6 linked regions of the Bombyx mori genome follow. The protein of the gene in region 6 purifies or fractionates together with the protein of the main gene of each other region. This does not show direct contact. Links are inferred from orthologs where the notes say so. Each region holds a gene or a part of one and is shown on either strand. Other genes may lie near its edges.

What was found.
Region 1: the proteins of E3 ubiquitin-protein ligase Ufd4 (region 6) and uncharacterized protein LOC100862770 purify together in Homo sapiens (affinity purification with mass spectrometry; 4 studies listed by BioGRID, with this or other methods). This does not show direct contact. The link is inferred for Bombyx mori from reciprocal best matches to the Homo sapiens genes HECTD1 and ZNF622.
Region 2: the proteins of E3 ubiquitin-protein ligase Ufd4 (region 6) and structural maintenance of chromosomes protein 4 purify together in Homo sapiens (affinity purification with western blotting; 3 studies listed by BioGRID, with this or other methods). This does not show direct contact. The link is inferred for Bombyx mori from reciprocal best matches to the Homo sapiens genes HECTD1 and SMC4.
Region 3: the proteins of E3 ubiquitin-protein ligase Ufd4 (region 6) and COPA purify together in Homo sapiens (affinity purification with mass spectrometry, with the first as the bait; 3 studies listed by BioGRID). This does not show direct contact. The link is inferred for Bombyx mori from reciprocal best matches to the Homo sapiens genes HECTD1 and COPA.
Region 4: the proteins of E3 ubiquitin-protein ligase Ufd4 (region 6) and ubiquitin thioesterase trabid purify together in Homo sapiens (affinity purification with mass spectrometry; 5 studies listed by BioGRID and IntAct, with this or other methods). This does not show direct contact. The link is inferred for Bombyx mori from reciprocal best matches to the Homo sapiens genes HECTD1 and ZRANB1.
Region 5: the proteins of E3 ubiquitin-protein ligase Ufd4 (region 6) and structural maintenance of chromosomes protein 2 purify together in Homo sapiens (affinity purification with mass spectrometry; 3 studies listed by BioGRID, with this or other methods). This does not show direct contact. The link is inferred for Bombyx mori from reciprocal best matches to the Homo sapiens genes HECTD1 and SMC2.

The regions. Positions count from the first base shown.
Region 1 is NC_085121.1:8,128,278-8,132,439, forward strand, and holds the start of uncharacterized protein LOC100862770, read right to left. Parts: upstream 2,801-4,162; 5' UTR 2,727-2,800; intron 1-2,726. UniProt on the Homo sapiens protein: Pre-60S-associated cytoplasmic factor involved in the cytoplasmic maturation of the 60S subunit.
Region 2 is NC_085134.1:4,033,132-4,036,631, reverse strand, and holds part of structural maintenance of chromosomes protein 4, read right to left. Parts: intron 2,885-3,500; coding exon 2,767-2,884; intron 921-2,766; coding exon 737-920; intron 1-736. UniProt on the Homo sapiens protein: Central component of the condensin complex, a complex required for conversion of interphase chromatin into mitotic-like condense chromosomes.
Region 3 is NC_085132.1:3,498,794-3,502,293, forward strand, and holds part of COPA (coatomer protein complex subunit alpha), read right to left. Parts: intron 3,162-3,500; coding exon 2,941-3,161; intron 2,044-2,940; coding exon 1,906-2,043; intron 546-1,905; coding exon 442-545; intron 1-441. UniProt on the Homo sapiens protein: The coatomer is a cytosolic protein complex that binds to dilysine motifs and reversibly associates with Golgi non-clathrin-coated vesicles, which further mediate biosynthetic protein transport from the ER, via the Golgi up to the trans Golgi network.
Region 4 is NC_085132.1:7,256,624-7,260,123, reverse strand, and holds part of ubiquitin thioesterase trabid, read left to right. Parts: intron 1-492; coding exon 493-606; intron 607-1,027; coding exon 1,028-1,156; intron 1,157-1,580; coding exon 1,581-1,722; intron 1,723-2,315; coding exon 2,316-2,451; intron 2,452-3,395; coding exon 3,396-3,500. UniProt on the Homo sapiens protein: Ubiquitin thioesterase, which specifically hydrolyzes 'Lys-29'-linked and 'Lys-33'-linked diubiquitin. Also cleaves 'Lys-63'-linked chains, but with 40-fold less efficiency compared to 'Lys-29'-linked ones.
Region 5 is NC_085131.1:14,294,976-14,298,903, reverse strand, and holds the start of structural maintenance of chromosomes protein 2, read left to right. Parts: upstream 1-1,128; 5' UTR 1,129-1,270; coding exon 1,271-1,438; intron 1,439-1,829; coding exon 1,830-1,979; intron 1,980-2,382; coding exon 2,383-2,544; intron 2,545-3,928. UniProt on the Homo sapiens protein: Central component of the condensin complex, a complex required for conversion of interphase chromatin into mitotic-like condense chromosomes.
Region 6 is NC_085118.1:10,509,877-10,513,376, reverse strand, and holds part of E3 ubiquitin-protein ligase Ufd4, read left to right. Parts: intron 1-151; coding exon 152-264; intron 265-868; coding exon 869-998; intron 999-1,240; coding exon 1,241-1,381; intron 1,382-1,748; coding exon 1,749-1,944; intron 1,945-2,657; coding exon 2,658-2,874; intron 2,875-3,213; coding exon 3,214-3,500. UniProt on the Homo sapiens protein: E3 ubiquitin-protein ligase which accepts ubiquitin from an E2 ubiquitin-conjugating enzyme in the form of a thioester and then directly transfers the ubiquitin to targeted substrates.

The sequences.
Region 1 (4,162 bases), on a different chromosome or scaffold from region 6:
AAAAATCTTTGTACGGATTAAAACAAGCTCCATTTACATGGAACAAAACTTTTACCCAAGCGATGTTTGATTTGGGATTCAAGACAATCAAAACAGATCGATGCGTTTTCATAAACGAAGATAAATCAATAATAATCGGACTATTCGTTGATGATGGACTTGTCATAGGAAAAGATAAGAAAAAGATCGAAGCTATTTTGAAGAAACTTGAAACCAAATTTCAAATGAAAAAGAATGAAAATCCAAGTACTTATCTGGGTATGGAAATAAAAAACTCAAAAGAAGGAATCATTCTTACTCAGAGATCCTACATAAATGACGTACTGGAAAAATACAACATGAAAAATGCCAAACCTTGTGACACGCCCGCAAGTAGCGATTCAAAGTCGATACAGGAAACTGCCCAGGAGAAGGAATATCCCTATAGGGAAGCAGTGGGAAGTTTACTGTACCTGTCTACCAGAACCAGACCAGATATCGCACAAGCGGTCAATCTAGTTAGCAGGAAGGTCGAAAACCCCACTAGAGAAGACGTTACAAAATTGAAGAAAATATTCAAATATTTAGTGGGAACCAAACATAAAGGCATTTTATTCAAACGAAACAAACCGATAGAGAGCATCGATGCTTACAGCGACTCGGATTATGCTGGAGACCCATTGACGCGAAGAAGCACTTCTGGTTCCGTGCTAATGATAGCCGATGGACCAATATCATGGGCATCCAAGAGGCAGCCTATAGTAGCGCTATCGTCGACCGAAGCCGAGTACATAGCCGCAGCCGACTGTTGCAAAGAGGCATTGTATCTCAAATCTCTATTACAGGAAATAACCGGTATGGACATAAAAATAAATCTACATGTTGATAACCAAAGTTCGATTCAACTTGTGAAGTCTGGATCCTTCAACAAAAGGTCTAAGCACATAGACGTGCGGTACCATTTTATACATGAACACTTCGTGCATGGATTAATAAATATTAGCTACTGTCCCACAGAAATTCAGTTAGCTGACGTAATGACAAAACCATTGTCAAAAGTAAAATTTGAAAGACACTGTGCAAGATTAATGCATGTATAGAAACGTGTCTCGGCAACATGAGTGAACATCAGGAGAAGGTGTTGGAAGGTCGTGATGCTGTCCACGTATAATTGTCTATGCTGCACTATATTTAAATTTGTATTATGTTCCTTTTTACTTTTGATGTGCGGTGTCATTCTGAATTATATTTTCTCTTATACAAGTCAACACAATGTTTTCAAGTATTTAATTTACGTTTTAATTAATTGCTATAGCCGCTAGTCCACCCTATCATACCCTTCGGTAATATTTCGCTTTATCGCCATTATACCACTGTGCACTCCAAGCATTATTCAAATATGTTTTAGGGAGGCTAACTAAATCATGACTATAATTTTTGAAACTATAAATATCACCACAATTGATAGCCTCGTTTGCAATTCTATCAACTATTTCATTTCCTTTAATTCCGCAATGGCTAGGTATCCATACAAATGATACTGTAAGATTTTGATCCATACATCTCATTAACAATTTTCTGCAGTCTAAGAGAATAGGGTAAATAGGTTGAGATTTAAAAGGAAATTTTGCAAGAGCCTGTAAAGCACTCTTTGAATCGGTTAGTATTAATGTTTTCTTTAGTTTAAATATCAAAATGTATTCTATGGCCTTGTATATTCCAAAACATTCACCAGTGAACACTGATGTTTCAGATGGTAATTTTATCTTTTCAACTATTTTTGATTGAGAATGATAGACTCCTACACCAACACAACCTTGAGGGTGTTTAGAAGCATCTGTATATATATGGTTATAGTCATTCCAATCTTGGTCTATTACGAAATTAAAGTTAGTATTTGGTTGCGGTTGGTACTTAGAAACACCCATGTCAAGATGAATATCCGGCTTTAAAATCAATGCCTTATAGTTTACACAAAATAGAGGGAAAATATGAGAGTGATGAGTTGGAGTTTGAATAGACAAATATTTTCTATAGCTAATTATTAAACATGGTAACTGTTTATGTTTCCAAAATGAAGAGGATTCTATGAGCTCATTTAGAGTTTTAAGTTTGGTAATAATGTGATTATTTTGGATTTGTAGGGATTTGAAAACGAATTTATCAGATAAATATTGACGTCTCAAATGAAGAGGAGGATCAACACATTCTACCTGTAATGCTGTAACAGGACTAGATTTCATGGCTCCAGTGATAATTCGGAGTGCTTTAGACTGTATAGAGTCTAGTTTTTTGAAAGCATTCACATCCCCTGGTTGAAGTAAAAAAGTACCATAATCTAAAACTGATCTTACTATGGCATTATATAAAAGTTTTAAATTGAATGGGTGGGCACCCCACCATACACCGGCAAGAGAACGCAAGATATTCATATTACTCAAACACTTGTTTGTAATGTAATTACAATGTTGAATTCCATTTAATTTTGAATCTAAAATTAAACCTAAAAATTTAACATGACTGTTTACAGAAATTAATTCATTCTCATAGAATATATTAATTGGAGGAAGAGAACGTTTTCTAGAGAATACAACAATAGAACTTTTGGAGGCAGAAAGGGAAAGTCCATTATTATCTAACCAAGATTTAAGAGTTAGAAATGAATTCCTAAGGGATAAGCAAGCCTTATGTATGTCTTTATTGCAAGTGTACATAAGGAGGTCATCAGCATATTGAAGAATTCTTACTTGATTTCCAAGGGTCTCTTCCAAATCACAAGTGTATATATTGTATAAAATTGGACTTAACACAGATCCTTGAGGGAGACCTCTCCATAAAGTTCTAGATTGTTGTGAATCTGAGGAGGTAGAGTTTAAAATGATAGTTCGATTTGACATTATAGTAATAATCAAGTTAACTAGTCTAACAGGAACCCTTATTTTCTGTAATTTGTAAAGGAGTGTAGGAATATGTACATTATCATATGCAGCGGAAATATCCAGAAATCCAGCTACAATAGATTCAGTGTGTGAGAAAGCTACCAAAATATCCACTATAAAGGTAGCAAGATTGTCCATTGTGCTTTTACCCCTTCTAAATCCGTTTTGACTGTCACTGAGTAAACTGTTACTTTCCACAAACCATTCTAATCTAATTTTAATTAAATGTTCTAAAATTTTCAACATTACAGATGAGAGAGCTATGGGTCTGTATGACAATACATCTGATGAAGATTTACCCGGTTTGAGAATGGGTAAAATAATTTGTTTTTTCCATGACTCTGGGATAACACATGTAATGAACATAGAATTTATAAGGTTGAGGTAATATGTGAGACTAGAATCACTCAAATGGGCAAAGAAAGAATAAGGAATCTTATCATCACCTGGAGCAGAGTCCTTAAGATTCGAGATTACCCCCTTCAGTTCATTAAATGAAAAAGGTAAATCAAAATCTGAAACTGGATCTGAACATGAGAAAGGAAGGACAGACGGAATAAGAACTAAACATTCTTCTGGAACATAAGGGGGAGCTAATTTATCAAGAAACTTGTCAGCCAGATCATAAGGTAAGTCTTTGACTGTATTTTCTTTATATGCAGATCTAAATCTTCTTATTTGGTTCCATACTTCAGAAGGTGAGATATTAGGACAAATCGAAGCACAAAATTTTTTAAAACCTTCTCGTTTCTTTTTTAATAAAAGATTCCGAGTACTATTGATACTTTCTGTTAGAATATCAAAATTTTCTGTAATAGTTTCTTCTAAATATAATAATTCGGCTGCTTTTCTCTCCTTTACCGCCTGAGTGCACTCCCGGTCCCACCAAGGAGGAGAAGGAATAAAAATACCAGAAGGGCTTTTAGAAGGGAAAACTTCATCAGCTGTTTCTATAAAAGCAGAAGCTAAAATTTTTGCTTGTGCATCGGAATCTAAGTTATTAATATTTTCACAGTTGGCAAGTTTAATATCCAAACGCGATTGAAACGTTTTCCAATCCTCATCTGTTACTTGAGATAGATTGTACTTTATTGTAGACTTATGTTTAGAATGATCCTTAATTACTATGTTATTGTTTGAAAATGAAATAATAATAGGATAGTGGTCACTTCCATAACTTAGTTTTAATGTTTCCCAGGACAAAGACGGCACCAGAGATGGGGAGGAAATAGATATATCAGGAG
Region 2 (3,500 bases), on a different chromosome or scaffold from region 6:
TGATATTTGCTCGGTAGACCGACGGTCCGAATATTGTTGTTCGGAACTTGTATATATGCAAGCTTATCTTGAAAATATCGTAAGTGAGATTCAGGCATCTGTCAAATATCTTGCGTTGTATGATGGCTACCCGCCAGTGTCTATCGGATCATAATAAAAAAAAAACCTAAATAGCCATTTGATATTCACGGCATATTTACGGAACACATATCTCGTGGATAAAGAGCTCTTACTGTATCTGTACTATATCTGCGAGGAGTGAAGTTGTGTGATTTGTTTTATTTTGTCTATTGTAATGTTTCTTTAGGATTAAATGTGTAGTAACGGTGGTTTATTAACTGTTTAATATCTGTGAAAGTGCACAAATGTGGGAAAATGAAACAAAGCCGCTAGACGTAACTTCTAAAAAGTCCACTGAAAATATCTTAGTAGATGACCACTATTTTACTGAGATTATATTTCATCCCATATCATCTCATTTCATTTCACTCCATATTTATCATTTTTCATAAAAAATAATAATTTAAATTAAAATAAGACATGACTTAAATGTCTTAGTTACCAGGTCATAAAATCCCTCAAAAGAAAAAAATATATATTTTTTTTCTTTTGTAGGCAGACGTGCATACGGCCCACCTGATGGTAAGTGGTCACCGTCGCTCATGGACGTCAGCAATGCCCGTATTTAATAATATGTAATATTATTATAATATATTAATATGTAAAGGTCACCGACCTTAATATAGTTTGCCACGATCGAAACGTTTTTGAAGTCCAAGGCCGCGTCTATCTCGTCCATGACGTACAGAGGCGTTGGTTTGTAGTAATGTAAAGCGAAAACCAGGGCCAGTGAGGATAACGTCTTCTCGCCGCCCGATAAATTCGATATGTTCTTCCAGGACTTGTTCGGCGGACGCACGCTGTAAACAAAACAAGAGTTATTTAGGTGTCGTGAGATTATTATTTTTTTTACTGGCCGAGTCCCGCGATGTTATCTGCGGTTATTTTCGTACCGCGAGTGACGCCGCGGGGCTAAGCAAGTCTAGAAAAAGTAGCCTAAGTTACTCCTTATATCATGAGCTACCTATTAGTGGAAGTCTCGTCAAATTTGGTCCAGCCGTTCCAGAGATTAACCGGAACAAACAGACAATAATTTTTTTTTTTTTTTCTACCTATCCTGATAGCCTTGAGAGGCTATTTCAGCTTCACCCTAACGTTTGTAGGTGAGCTCACGGGGCTCAAACCGGAGTGTTGCTAACACTGCCCCTAGCAAGAGCAGAGCTTCGCAGAATCTACCACCGGATCGGAAACGCGACCCACTGAGAAGATCCGGCGAGAAACTCAGTGGGCTGTGCCTATGGGCTAGTTCGCTCGTCGAGCCCTTCGTCGCAAGCGACGGGTTCGACGAGGACGGTGACCGGGGAAAAATTGTGAAAAATTGTATGTGTTACCGACAATCTGTATAATACAGTATTCTATACAATACTTAGGCAATGTATAGAATACCTAAAACGTTAAGGTAAAGTATGTAATATTTTTCATTTTATACTTTGCCTAGGCATTCTATACAAAACCGAATGCGCTGCCCGTAATGTGTGTAAAAGAACTGATTACTTAACTTTTAACTAATTACTTAGATTAGATTATGTTAGTTAACCCAGAAGAATTTTAAATTCAATGTTATTTGATTGTGATTTTACAATAAATACCTATGAATATAAAGATTGTTTTTAATCAAAACTAACTACTTATTAATTGTTAATTTTAATAAAGTTGATTTTAAGCAAATCTTATGTGCTATTTTTGTCTGTCATTTTATACTCTTCTGCTTATTTACTTACATAACATTGATAAATACAGGCCCAAATATAGTTATTTTACACATTATGTATAGATTTACTTTTTATAGTTTAGATGAGTGGACGAGCGCACGGCCTACCTGGTGTTAAGTGGTTAGCGGAGCAAAAAAAAAAACTAGACGGTAAATTCCGCCACCTACCTTATATATGATATGAGTACTAAGGTCTCAAGTATAGTTACAACGGCTGCCCCGCCCTTCAAACCGAAACGCATTACTGCTTCACAGCAGAATAGGCAGGGCGGTGGTACCTACCCGCGCGGACTCACAGCACATGCTACCTACCACTAGTCGAAATTTTGCATTTCAGACATTTTAATCGCATATATCGAATCGGCGCCATTGCCTTAATACTCTTTAGAAATAAACTTACATTACGAAGAATTAAACATTAAAATATATGCAATTGAGACTTCGAGATGAAGACCAGTCAAGGGAATTATAATTTTATTACTAAACACATAAGAGGCTTTATATAAAAATACTCCATAAATTATCATAGGCCAGTACGAATATATATATTTTTTTCCTTCCTATTCTAGTAGCCTCTAGGGGTTATTCTAGATTAGCCGAGCTTGTAGGTGAGCTCACGGGGCTCAAACCTGAGGACGTTGCTAACACGAACCCTAGCAAGAGCCGTGCTTCGCAGAATCTACCACCGGATCGGAAACGCGACCCACTGAGAAGATCCGGCGAGAAACTCAGTAGACCGTGTCTGTGGGTTAGTTTACTTATCGAGCCCTTCGTTGCAAGCGACGGGTTCAACGAGGACGGTGACCGGTGCTTGAGGTACCTAAAAGCACCGTTAGTGGATCGGGAGGATCCAAAATGACGTGTTTGGGGCGACGTCGACTGCTTTCCATTCGGTCCGCAGGATCGGGTATAGTACGATCCTTAAAACAAAATACCTGAATATAATCCCTTCGGAGAATGGATCCAGCGAGTCAACAAGTTCTAGTTCAGCGTCGCCTCCCAATGTTATCATTTGGTACATCTCTTTCAGTTTCATTGTTATCGTATTGAATCCTGGAAGGAAAAGTTTATTTTTTATTGTACAGAATTGGAGTTTCGAACTTTACACTAAACTAGCGGCCCGCTCCGGCTCCGCTCGGGTCTTTAACAAAAATTTCAACGATATTTGACGTTGTTTTATTTTTTTAAATAAAAGAACACTTATTGCGACATAACTACAATAGTTAGACATATGCTGTCCCGACACTTTTGGTAAATAATAATGTGTTCTACAAAGCAGTAGTACATTATTTTATTATACCATCAATAGTTTTCGCAGGCACGCGATGTAAAGATTATTTTAGGTAATTTTTGGAGTTTACTCCTTTAGAATCGATTTACATATATAGGCCCGGGGTATGAAAATTATGGGGACCAAAATCGTACTAGCATGTCACACGAAATGCGTTATGCGCCTGATTGGCTCCTGATTGCGTGATGCGTGCGCGCGCCAATCAGGAGCCAACGCGCGGCCGCGTTATCGCAGGTGACGCCGGGCTGCTGCGCCGGCAGTCCGCCACAAAGCCTCGTACTGATCGCGCGTTTCTCTCATTATTGTATTTTCATATATTTGTTAGTCGTTTGTTTTGTGTCTCGTTAATTTGTTAATAATCTGTAGTGTATCGTGTTG
Region 3 (3,500 bases), on a different chromosome or scaffold from region 6:
GCTTGGCACTATTTGGGCCGCGTGAGGCGAGTTTAGCCTAATAATCCTGCCTGTCATAAGGCCTGCCACCGGGAAGGATCTCCTGCCTGTCATAAGTTATCCAGGTACAATTTTAAAGTCGCCGTGGCCTAAAGGATACGTCCGGTATGGATACCAATTTTTCTAATGAAATACGTACTCAACGAATGTTCACGATTGACTTCCACGGTGAAGGAATAACATCGTGTAATAAAAATCAAACCCGCAAAATTATAATTATTGGTGGTAGGACCTCTTGTGAGTCCGCACGGGTAGGTACCACCATCCTGCCTATTTTCTGCCGTGAAGCAGTAATGCGTTTTGGTTTAAAGTGTGGGGCTGCTCCATTATACTGAGAGCTTAGAACTCAAATCTCAAGTCACCCAGTACGCAATAAAAAAAAAATCATAAACCACAACGCACCCTTCTCCTGCAAGTAGGCGATGATGCTCTGCCCGACAAGTTTAGCCGTCCGCACCATGTGCAACACCTGATCGTATTGGCGCGTCACTAGAGCTAATTTGAATCTAAAACCAAAAAAATTATTTTGTTCATAACCTATATAATGTATTGTATGTAAGTATGTATATTGGTATATATCTGTTTATCTATATGTAAATATTTTCTATAATAATGTATTGTCTATGGTACATCGCAACATACCTGCTATATTTTTATATTTTGCAGAATTTCTGTAAATTAAACGGTAGTCTGGAAGAGATCGCTTTTAGCGATAAGACCGCCTATTATACAAATGTATCTGCTTTTTGACTGTTTTCTTTAATGTAAATTGTGTTTTGGTGTGAAATAAAGTGTATTCTCTCTCTATTGAACATATACAGGGTGATTTTTTAACTTGATCACTTAAATCTATCTACCGAGCCAAAAGTCCACATCCAATAGTACAAAGCTAAGACTTTAATCTTTTTATTTTCAGAGTACACACACGTATGAGATAAAGCCTGAATTCTAAAGAACACCGATCATTGGACCAGTTCAAATGACCAGTTTATTTTGTTATAATCTAAAATTCTCATTCAATCAATCTCATCTCACAGCTTACTTAAATCCTTATCTTAAACCTCCTTATCAATTAATGGAGCGATACAGGGTGTGGTTTTATATTATAAATGAACGTGTTTTCCGCCTACATCGGGAAAATGTTTGTGGGATGTATACACGTATGATGTATACGCGTATAATACATACATGGTAAAAAAATTGTTAATATAAAATATAAAGGTCTATAGAAGGGATTTTATTTTATTTATTTATTTATTTTCACGAGAAACCACTGCACTATATTCCCAAGAAAGTCATGAATAGGAAGAATACGAAAAAATGTAAGCCGAGGTAGCCGCTTGGCAATCGGCGCCGTCTTGTGTCCGGGACAAACAGTGTGAAATGGGTTACCGGCCATGTCAATGTAAGCGACCAGGCGTTGCATGGAAATAATGCTACTGGAAAACCTGTATCTATGCTTAAAAACATCATAAAAATAGGTAACTGGAATGTCCGTGGCTTGCTGCAACCGGGTAAACTAATAATGATAGAAAAGGAACTCGTTAGGTGTGGAATAGCCGTATGTGGACTGAGCGAAACTCACTGGAAAGGAAGAGATCTCGTGGAAGAATCCCCATGCGTTGGACTGATCAGGTGGAAGACCTTACTGAAACCCCACTTAACGCGTGAGTGCGCCGGGTCTCGATTCGCAAACTATGAAAAACATCTATCAAGGCATATAAGCAAGAATTCCACATGACCACGACTGCTCTGCCAAGAGCAACCGATTATCATGAATGATGGTAGAGGGGATCTTAATTTGAGGTCAGATGATGAACGTTATGTGTTAATAATTAATCTGAATATAGTTATTTTAAAACTAGCCTGTATTCCGTGGGGTCGATGTTGAGTACTTTGGGCCTGCATTCTCGGTCCAAGCACACCACGCGCGCGCCCGTCTCCGTCGACAGCACGCGCACCGCGTACACGGGCACGTCCAGAGTGCGGATGATGCCGTAATCGCTGTGGGAAAAACAACAACAAAAACTCACGTCATTACGGACCCTCCCGATCCATTAACGGTGCTTTTAGGTACCTCAAGCACCGGTCACCGTCCTCGTCGAACCCATCGACTAGTAAATTAACCCATAGACACAGCCCACTGAGTTTCTCGTCAGATCTTCTCAGTGGGTCGCGTTTCTGATTCGGTGGTAGATTCTGTGAAGCACTGCTCTTGGTAGAGCCAGTGTTAGCAGTACTCCGGTTTGAGCCGCGTGAGCTCACCTAATAGTTCGGTGAATCTAGAATAACCCCTCGAGGTTAATAGAATATGTAGAAAAAAAAAACACGTGTGGCACTCGGGGACTGTCGCGGTAAAGCTATGGCATAGCATATTTTATCAACTTATGCCATTATAATTAAACAATGATAATTTAATATTAAAAATAATAATAAAATAAGAATACGCTATATTTATAAACATTAACAAAAGCAAAACATTAACTCTCCCCTTCAACTCATAAGCTAGACCACGCGCGAGAGAGAGATGGGCAGACTTTTCATGATGCGCATGCAGTGCGACGTCACGCCGCGCGCTTATTTACAAACACTACACAAGCGCAACGTGTGAATGTGTTAGACGCGAGCTACATGGTAGGCGGAGTGGAGGGTGTTAGGTTTTATTTTCGTTACGGAACTTCTTGATTTAGTCGCCGCGCTCAAAGCCCGCGATAAAAGCTATGCAATAGCTTAAGAAAGAAAAAAAACATTGCATCGTTTTCTTTGACAGTCGCCATTGTGGTTAGCGAAGACCATAGAGATTTTAAAACATGAGCACAGGCGATAAATCGTTCCTTCAAACTGGAATGTACCACTACTTCCAGCACATCCTAGCGATTCTACTGACCAGAAGACACTCACCCGTCCTTACAGCAGTACTTGATGTGATTTGCCGTGGTGTATATGAACACGGGCTGCGGTGTGGAATCGTCGAAGGCGCCGGACTTGACTCTGGCCCCTTCGGTGATGCAGCACAGCTGCTCCAGCTTCTTGGTGCATAGTGTGACCGTGTGCTTGCCCAACAGAGCCACTATTGACATATCGGTATTCCAAATGGCGTAACGACATTTCGATACTTTCACCTGAAAATATGTAATTCAAATTAGCTATGTTATTTGTAGGCAGCGGCTTGGCTCTGCGCCTGGCATTGCTGAAGTCCATGGGCGACGGTAACCACTTACCATCAGGTGGGCCGTACGCTCGTCTGCCTACAAAGGCAATAAAAAAATAAAATAAAAATACATGTGTGCAATTCACACGTGGTAGAAGTGAAACCTTCCAAAATTAAAATACAATTATCCTAAACGTCTTAAGTATATGTAAAATTTTGTCATTAGTAAATAATTGTAAGGTAGCGCCCTCTATGAATTGATATTTTAATTTCACGTATAATCCTAAATTAAAATTCACTACAAGAGCTT
Region 4 (3,500 bases), on a different chromosome or scaffold from region 6:
GTTAGGAGGCGCTGGTCTTGGCACTGTCAATGAACCTGTCACATTTGTACCTAGCCCATTGTGGTTGTGTGCTTACTAGAGGGCGCTAGTGTAATGACGTCACACCTATTTCTGCCGTGAAGCAGTAATGCGTTTCGGTTTGAAGGGCGGGGCAGCCATTGTACTGTAAAAACTGAGATCTTGCAACTCATGTCTTAAAGTGGGTGGCGGCATTTACGTTGTAGATGTCTATGGGTTCCGGTAACAATTTAACACCAGGTGGGCTGTGAGCTCGTCCTCCCATCTAAGCAATAAAAAAAAGTGGTGGAGAGTTTTGTGGAGAGACGCCTAGTTCTTTCAGGATTGATGCGTTTGTCCGATGTACCGTCCAGGGAATCCGCAGCATTTTTCAAAAAGCAATAATGGGCTAGAGCCGCCTTTAATGCGCACGTTTGACGCAATAAATTTAATCAAAGCTCTAGTATGTATCTGATCTTGTGTCCTTTGTTCCAGCGCCGGACCTGGCGTCAGCGATACGTCGGCACATAGCGGGGTGCTTAAGGCAGAAAAAAGGAAATTTTCCATGTCGATACATCAACGAGTTCTGTACCTTCTCGTTGCCTGCTGGTAAGCCCGCCTACCTGTATTTTGTATAAGAAAATTTCGGATGTCGAAATCAAAAACACGATAAAAAAAATTGTATTCAACATAAATGAAAGGACATACTTGTAGAACGTCAAAAAGAACTACCGCCAATTCACAAAAAGTAGCCTCCGTCGTGAGAAGAAATGGCAAGAAACTCAGCGGGCATGTCTTTTTTTAAATATTAGATTTTTTTTAATATTCATCTAATCTAAATTAATAAATAATAATAAATCGAAATTAAAACGAAAAAAAATGTTACATTCATGTTGACCGTAAATTTAAATATACCCACAAAAATTACACAATTGAAAAACCATTATATTAAATCTCAAAGATGTCATTTATAAGTCAAGTCAATTATATACTAATTAAAAAACACCTTAAAATATTTACAATTTCTCAGATATCGAAGAGTTACCGGCTGCGATACAAGAGCAGCTATTCTCCGAGTTACTGGACAGAGAAGCACAACAGACTTTAGAAGCGGATCCTCCACTCATAAACTGGAGCTTGGAGTTCACCGTTAACCTTGGTGAGCATCACTGTAATACTTTTGTGTTAATATGGACACATAAATTCATTCTCATTCATTCGAATGTCTATAAAGACACAATTAATGCAGATTCTAATTTCGACCTGAGAACCTCATACTTTAAATTGAGATGCAGAATTGGTTCACGAAATAAATGTCATTCAGTACATGATATGGAAATTATGGTTTGGTAGGAATATAAATAATATTATTGCGCTATTACAACATACTAATACTACCGATGCTAGAAGCAGTATGTAGTGTGAATAGAGTGTAATGAATCGCTGAATTCTCATCTCTGAGAATAATCAATGCTTGAGTTTATTCTGTTTTGACGGTATAAATCAGGGGACGCCTGTATAGTACCGCCCGCGGACGACAGATGGCGCCACGTGTTATGTGTGTGTGTGTTGTTATCGTCCAGGGTCCCGGCTGTACGCCCTCTGGAACCGCTCGGCCGGCGACTGCCTGCCCGACGCCGTGTGCCAGGCCGCCTACGGGGTGTTCGACAGGAACAACGCGCTCCGGACCGCGCTGGCGGACTCGCTGCACCAAGCCCACAGGAGGTGAGCTTTATTTGTATAACCATAACGTTCATATACGTATGGCAATTCATAGCTGCTTGTGACTAATTACTACAACTATATATCGACGCTTGAAAGGCAAACGTAACTAAGCGACAATAGCTGCTTCGTACATAAATGACAGGCAATGACCATATTCGATGCGCAAAAAAAATATATTTATAGGTCTATTCAAATCATTTCTATCATACAGCTAGATTCGTTAAAATAGATTTTTTTCGGGTATTTCAACTTTAAATTAGTCTACTGTAAAGTTCACGCATTGTCGCTTAGTCACGTTTGCCTTTCAAGCGTCGATATGTGTGTTTTTTTTTTAACAATCGAACACATGGCTTAAGACGTCCTACCACCAGTAATTACGCAAATTATAATTTTGCGGGTTTGATTTTTATTACACGATGTTATTCCTTCGCCGTGGAAGTCAATCGTGAACATTTGTCAAGTACGTATTTCATTAGGAAAATCGGTACCCGGCTGCGGGATTCGAACACCGGTGCATCGCTCAACACGAATCCACCGGACGTCTTATCCTTTAGGCCACGACGACTTCACAAGATCGTATTGTCTATTTTCAGTTTCTACGAGCGTTGGCAGGCGTGGGAGCGAATGCAGGCGTCGCTGTTACATTACGCGCCCGAGGAGGGGCAGCTGAGGGCGGAGTGGAGCAGGATATTAGCGTCCGCCGCCCGACCCGGCACGCCGCTGCACCAGGTGAACTCCCTTGTGTGACGCATGTAACAATAAAATTTGATGTCTTGCTCATCAACAGTCGTTTAATCCAGTCATTATATGGGGTTGACCCCGGAAATTCGACATACCCACCCAGTATATAAACACATGAGAACTTGTATGTTGGCATCCTAAAACTATTCTCAAAATTCGCATTAAAATGATAACTACTACATTTAATTTCATCCCAGTTGATTAATGTCTCAAATTAATCATCTTCATTTAATTTCACTCCATTTTATCATTTTTCATAAAATTAAGAATATAAATTAAAATAAGACATGACCTAAAGGTCTTAGTTACCAGGTCATAAAATCCTATAAAAATAAATCCTTCACTAAGCGATTAATCACACACTAATGATGACTAGTGTTGGAAATTGCGAACTGTTGCATACAAAGCCGCCGAAGTTTAATTTACCACTTAATTTCATCACATCAAGAGACACCCTAGATGGAGATCACTACATAGTATAAAACAAAGTCGCTTTCTCTGTCCCTATATCCCTATGTATGCTTAAATCTTTAAAACTACGCAACGGATTTTGATGTTTTTTTTTTTAATAGATAGAGTGATTGAAGAGGAAGGTTTATATAAGCGTTAAGCGAGGGCGGGTCAAAAATCAATTGCTGTTCGTTAGTCTCGCTAAAACTCGAGAACGGCTGGACCGATTTGGCTTATTTTGGTCTTGAATTATTTGTGGAAGTCCAGAGAACGTTTAAAATGTAGTTGAATATGAAAATGCTCGGAATTAAATAAAAATAACAATTTTGTTTTTCCTTTGATGTGTCCCCCGTCGGACGGATTCCTTTTGTTTGTTTTATGTTTATTGTATACAAAACTAGGTCTTTTATTTATCGATTGAGGCACTACGAAGTCTGCCGGGTCAGCTAGTTGTTAAATAAAAAAAAATCGTATTCGTTTAGATCCATGTGTTCGTCCTCGCGCACGTGATGCGTCGTCCGATCATCGTGTACGGGGTCAACGTTGTGAATTCCTTCCGGGGGGAGGCCTTAGGATTTGCACGGTTT
Region 5 (3,928 bases), on a different chromosome or scaffold from region 6:
TCGATTTCACTCTATATAGAAAAGGGCCGCTCGGATTGTCGATAATCCCGGATCTCACGGATCATTTGGAACCTCTGGGTCTGCGGAAGGACTTCGCTTTTCTCTGTATTTTGTACCGTATGTTCCATGGGGAGTGCTATGAGGAATTCTTTGAGATGATTCCATCATCTCACTTTTACCATCGCACCGCCTGCCATCGGAGAAGAGTTCATCCTCGCTGGGTATCTTATTCTGTTTGAGATATAGAAGCACTATTTCTTGATATCGATGCTATATGATAACAGCTTTATTAAAGACACTATTGACTACATTCTAGCTCACGCTCGTGCAAAAATCAGCCACTGTCATTTACATCGACAAGTCCTAGTAGATCCATCCGCCCTGCTTTCGATTTGTTGGACATTAGTTCTAATGCTATACGATTACGCTATAATGATACTAGTTCATCGGGCGTTTTATTCTTTGGGCTACAACTTATAAAAGGGTGAGATTTAATGTCTGAGTTTGTAGACTTTTTGGAAGTTGTCAAGTCCACGTCCACGGCCGAAGCCACGGCCTATGATTTTTTTTGCGCTTATGAACTTTCACTACATGGTTAAAATACTTCATTTTCTGTACTTACTACAATTTATTTTAGTTCGAATCAGAATCTATTACATTTGAATCTGAGATGTTATCTATCTTCTTCTTCTATATATATAAAAATGAATTGCTGTTCGTTAGTCTCGCTAAAACTCGAGAACGGCTGCACCGATTTGGCTAATTTTGGTCTTGAATTATTTGTGGAAGTCCAATGAAGGTTTAAAAGGATAGATAAATATGAAAATGCTCGGAATTAAATAAAAATAACAATTTTGTTTTTCCTTTGATGTCCCCCCCGCCGCGCGCCGGACGGATTCCTTTTGTTTGTTTTAAATTTATTTTCTTCAAAGGTTTAAGTCTTTTATTTATTGATAGAGGCACTACGAAGTCTTCCGGGTCAGCTAGTATGCAATAAAGAAAAGAAAAAGAATCGGTACACTTATAATTTTTTACCTCTTTACCATATTGTTAATCTAAATCGAATTAAAATCTTTAAAAAAAATGTTGTCGAGAAAAATATAATGTGTCAATGTCATTAATCAATGAATGTCAAAAATATTTTAAAAACACAAATCAATTTTGATTTCATAAAAAAATCAACGGCTTCTCTAACGCTTGATGAATTCGTATGAGTTTAAATTTTTAATGAATTTTCTTGTTCTATAACTGTTGTTTTTATGATCTGAACATGTTTATTAAGTCAATAGTGTTAGATGGCTTCAAGTCTTACGGAAACCGAGTGGAAATTACTGGATTTGATCCAGAATTTAATGCGATCACTGGTCTAAATGGGACTGGAAAATCAAATATCTTAGATTCTATATGTTTCGTACTTGGAATCACAAATTTATCGAATGTATGTTGTAGTTTATTATTGCTAACAAAATAACAACTGTTGCTGATTTATTTCCCGCCAAATACCATTCACTGTTAAGGGTTATGGCGATATAGTAGCAGCGTTTATTCATGATAATATTCAATTACCTATCAAATATGCGACATAAATCCTATGGGCATCAGAATACATGATGACTTGAAAATAAAAACATACACTTTTCAAGTTCTAGTACAACAATAATATCGATTGATGCGAAGTAAACTCGACAATGATGTTTTCTGCTTCTTTCTGGGTACAATTATAAATAATATGAATATTCCAACAATAAAACATAGTTGCTTCTTGGTCAAAATGCTTGTTTAACAAAATTTGTGCCTAAATTATTAATTAATTTATTATAAAAAAATAGGTACGAGCAAGCAGCTTGCAGGAGCTTATTTACAAGCATGGGCAGGCAGGTATCACCAAAGCAACAGTTAGCATTACCTTCGACAACAGAGATAAGAGACAATGTCCGATTGGCTATGAGAATCATGATGAGATTACTGTCACTAGACAGGTAAGACATAGTTATATTGGAATAGTAATTAGTAATCAACAAAACATCTAGAAATTGAATAACCATTTGCTAAGTTTCCAGGTTCATGAAGCTTCCATTAAATTACTTTATTAAAAAGTTCCAAGAATACAATAGTTCCAAGAATATATACATGATTAATAAATCAATATTCAAATGTTTGAGATGACATGATTTAATACATCATTTACAAATCATTCGATCAAGTAGCTTGACTTTTACTATTAGCAAACCAAGCTAAATTTCATAAGCTTTGCTGAACAAAACAAGAAATAACGTATAGCATTCAAAAGTTATATTTCCTCATCCAAATTTGCTTAATCAAACTAATATAAAGAACATGCTATTTAACAATTATTGAAACAATTTGAAAAATAAATTTCAGGTGGTGATGGGTGGTAAGAATAAATACCTTATAAATGGTATCAATGTCCAAAACAAGAGGGTCAGTGACTTATTCTGTTCGGTTCAGCTTAATGTCAATAACCCACACTTCCTCATCATGCAGGGAAGGATTACTAAGGTGCTAAATATGAAACCTCCTGAGGTAAGCCATACATCAGCTTCAGCAGTTAAATTACTTGTATGACCTTAGTAAATAGTGTTACGAACTGAAGTTCTGGATAAAATAATTATTTCTTACTAGCTGACCAGGCAGACTTCGCAGTGCCAAGACCTAAACTTTTGTATAAAATAAACTTAAAACAAACACAAGGAATCCGTCCGACGGGGGATACATCAAAGGAAAAACAAAATTGTTATTCTTATTGAATTCCGAGAATTTTCATATTTATCTACCTTTTAAAGCTTCTCTGGACTTCCACAAATAATTCAAAACCAAAATTAGCCAAATCGGTCCAGCCGTTCTCGAGTTTTAGTGAGACTAACAACCAGCAATTCATTTTTATATATATAGATAATCAAAAACATATATAGATTATGAATCAAAATCATCAAGTCTAATTACAAAATACTTTGATTAGTACTTTGATAAGTATAGTGACTGATTTCACTATTATGATGCATTAGATTGCATTCAAATCTTGTCTTGGATATGACTTCACTTTAAGTCGTATGATTTTTCTCACTCCTCTGAATGAAATTTAATCTTTCTAAAAGCGTGTGCACTGTAATTTCTAGTAAGGTCTTAATTGCTTTGTGATTTTTTTCTTTCTCTGTACTGTGTGGCATTAGTTGTATTGTATGTTTGAGCTATTTGTGATGATTAAAATATAGGTAGAGACATACAGCCTTAGTAATAAATGTGGTGTAATATCCTTATGCTTCCCAATTCGTGCCATCGTAGGACAGAAAATATTTGACAAATTTTGAAATCACACTAATGGCATTTTCAAAAGAAGCTTTGCATGTGTTAAGCCAGTTACAAACAATATTTGGACTTTTGGTGTATGGAACAAAATTATCTGCTTGGTGGAAGATGTTTCTTATATTGTTTTCCCTCAAACACTTACTAGCCACAATATCAGTAAACTTGAGATCTTGTCTTCTGATATGGAAGATTTCCATTTAACCTTGCTCTGTGGCTGCTGCCCAGCCATTGTTGGCCCTAAGATAAAAAAAAAGCTGTGAGCACAAGAGTTTTATATCCACAAGACAATGTTGATGCTACCACTCTCCCTGAGAACTGAAGTTGAGCTGGCAGTACAACATCCCATGAGCTCGTATAGGTATGTATCACCACTCTGCCTATTTTTGCCTTGAAGCAGTAATGTGTTTCGTTTTTCAAGGGTGGGGCAGTAATTGCACACTGAGGCTTGGATGCCTTTTCCCACGGTGGGTGGCGGGGCTCCCGTATCCACTTAAAGTCAGATGGGCTGTGAGCTCAATGACCTATCTAAGTAATAAAAAAAGGCAAAAAACCTGTGCTGTAATTGTGTTTGACATCCTTGTGAATAAATGAAATGTAACTA
Region 6 (3,500 bases):
ACACGAACCAGACGGGGCATGATTGTCTTTGTATGCATTAAAAATATCTGGACATTACTTTGACAGATTTTCAAATTTTATCTTAGTCAGAGGTCCAGTGGCAGGTTAATTAATTATAATTTTTTTTAACCCAAATTAATACACCATATAGGTCCTGACATCGCCAGTGGCTGGGCTGACAGAAGGTCATTGCTTACCAATAATTCAACACCAACAAAACCTCGTTCTCGAATATCAGCAAAAACCGAAGCTCTTAAAGCACAAGTGAGTATTTTTTATTTATTAAATACAGTTTATAAGAGGACCTCTCTCAAAGAAGAAAATATAACAATAAACTATTAAACCGGAATAATGTCCGTTTTCTTAGTGTGTGTATGTTTAAATGTCTTTTTTAATAATGTTCGAATAATAATAAACGAAACTTAAAAGATGATTTACCAGACTCGCCAGAGATAGATAGCAGATATCTGTAACTGTGATACCAATAAACTGTGATCGTCAACCGTAACCCACTGGGAGTAGCGGTAGGCAGCGGCTTGGCTCTGCCCCTAGCATTGCTGAAGTCCATGGGCGACGGTAACCACTCACCATCAGGTGGGCCGTATGCTCGTCTGCCTACAAGGGCAATAAAAAAAAAGAGTAAGGCGTATTGGGGGTCTACAAGGGTGGATACCACCATCCGGTCTATTTCGGCCGCGGATCAATAATTATGAGTTCTGGTAAGACCGCCGGTATGCTAAACAATTGATACTTAGACCACACCCTCAAGGTGCGTCTGAGTCCACGTTGTGATGTTTGGGGACTTCGGTAACTATTTAATACATGGAGGTCACGTTCGCGCACCTATACAGATGTGTGTGGTTTGTAGGTATGTGAGCGAGCGCGTGCGCTGTACTCGCGGCACCTCGCGAGCGCAGTGACGCGCCAGCCGCGCCCGCCCGTCGCCCGCCTGCGCGCGCTGCTCGCCAGGATGCAACGCATCGCCACCCAGCCTTCCAGTCAGTCATGCACAATATACATGCACTCTATAAAATATTCATTATATTTACAACAAACTTACGTTTATTTGTGGATTATTTCCCATAGTGACAGGATCCTGATTAAAGGTGTTATGTAATTTTCGTTGAGAGTCATTGTAGCCGCATATATGCTTAAAAGTTTATCATTTATTACATTGACATGAAAATATGTTAATTATATTTGTAAAATTGGTTTATAAAATGTCTGTTTTGTCGAGCAGAAGATTGGCAACGAGAGCTCAACGAATCGCTGGATCAGCTGACCGAGTTGCTGTGTGGAGATGAGCATCTGTCTGCGTATGAGTTACAGTCGTCTGGGTTAGCGCCTGCTCTACTACAGGTCCTCTCCCCACAGGTTAACGGTCAGTCACTTCATAAAAATTAATATATAGGTACAGAACGCTTTTTATAACTTTTTTCGAATTCTTGGGACACTGGCGACCGCATTATCACGAACGAGCACATGACTTCACAATGAATAATTCAGTGACGAAACTTAAGTGTTGTTGGTTTCTAAACCTTTTAGACGTTCAAACTGGAGTGATATGTTTGCTTGTTTCGTGGCAGAAATGAGCAGGACGGTTCTTAATTAAGTAAATTAAAATCAGATAGGTAAGTTATTCTTATTATAAACCTGTCGATTTGATCAATTTATTTGATGATTTCTACGTGTTAAGCTGTAAACTAGTAAGCAGATAGAAGGTTAATAAAACGAGTTTCCAAACGTAGACGGTCCGGGCCACCTGTCGGAGCGCAGCCGCGTTGTGAGCGCGTGGATGTGCCGGGCGTCGGGCGCGGCTGGCGCGGCGCTGGCCGAGCGGCTGGTGGCCGTGCTGGAGTCAGTGGAGCGGCTGCCGGTGCTCGCGCCGCACGACGCGCCGCCCGCCCCCGCCTCTGCCTTGCACCACCTCACTAAGCGCATACGGTATGAGTCTGAACCTATTCTAGTAACCTCGAGGGGTTATTCTAGATTCACCGAACTAGTAGGTGAGCTCGCGGGGCTCAAACCTGACGTTGTTGCTAACACGAACCCTAGCAAGAGCCGTGCTTTGCAGAATCTACCACTGGATCGGAAATGCGACCCACTGGGAAGAACCAGCGAGAATCTCCGTGGGCTGTGCCTTTATGTTAATTTACTCGCCGAGTCCTTCGTTGCAAGCGACAGGTTCGACGAGAACGATGACCGGTGCTTGGGGTACATAGAAGCAACGATAGTGGATCGGAAGGATCCGAAATGACGTGTTTTGGACGACGTCGATTGTTTACCATTCGGTCCGCAGGATCGGGAAGGTTGCATCGCAGTTTAAACGCAGTTTTAACAAGTGAACTATTATTCTGTATCCTATGAAAGTCATAGGGAATTTCGAAGGACCTTTCATATGTGAATTCCAAATTGAAGAAGATTGATCATTTAATTGCCAACGGATGTCTAAGTTGCTTCTTGAAATAATTAGGGTTTGTGGCAACCAACGTAGCTGCTATATTCGAAAACGTTTCTGTTTCCCTCTAAAGTTATTATCATATTCCAATTACTGCATTCAGATGGTGGTGGAGTATGCAAAAAAAGTTGTCGATTTAAAATAGTAATAATTACTTTTTTAATCGAACTGTATTAAACAAAATCTTCCTTGTGTACAGCTTGCGCGTCGAACGTGAAAGTGATGAAATCAGCGAAGACAGCAATGCTAATAATAACAGCGGCCGTAACCTGAAAGTGGAAGCCCTCACTACCGTCCGTCAGCTAGAACGGTTCTTGGCCAAGTCCGTAGCGCGGCAGTGGTACGACATGGAGCGGTCCACCTTCCTCTTCGTGCAAAAAATAAAAACTGAAGCTCCTTTAAGCTTCACCTACGACGTAAGCCTTTAACGATAGCTATTTCATATTCAGAGTTAATCAAAGAGCTAAGATACTGGTGATATCTGGTGATACTATTTTTTCTTGTGAGTCCGCACGGGTTGGTACCACCGCCCTGCCTATTTCTGCCATGAAGCAGTAATGCGTTTCGGCTTGTAGGGCAGGGCAGCCGTAGTAACTATACTGAGACCTTAGAACTTATATCTCAAGGTGGGTAGCGCATTTACGTCATAGATGTCTATGGGCTCCAGTAACCACTTAACACCAGGTGGGCTGTGAGCTCGTCCACCAATGTAAGCAATAAAAAAATTATAAAATTAATATGATTTTTACCTTTAGCACGATTTCGATGAAAACGGCGTTCTGTACTTCATCGGAACCAATGCTGGCACTTGTGAGTGGGTGAACCCTGGCGCTCACGGGCTAGTCTACGTGTGGTCATCAGACGGTAAACAGTTACCGTATGGACGACCCGAAGATGTGCTGTCGAGATCTCCAGAACCACTCAACGTGCACACTAATGACGACAGACGCGCTTTCATTGCATTGGACTTAGGCGTTCATATTGTACCAACCGCATACACCTTACGTCACGCCCGTGGCTACGGGCAATCAGCATTGCGGAA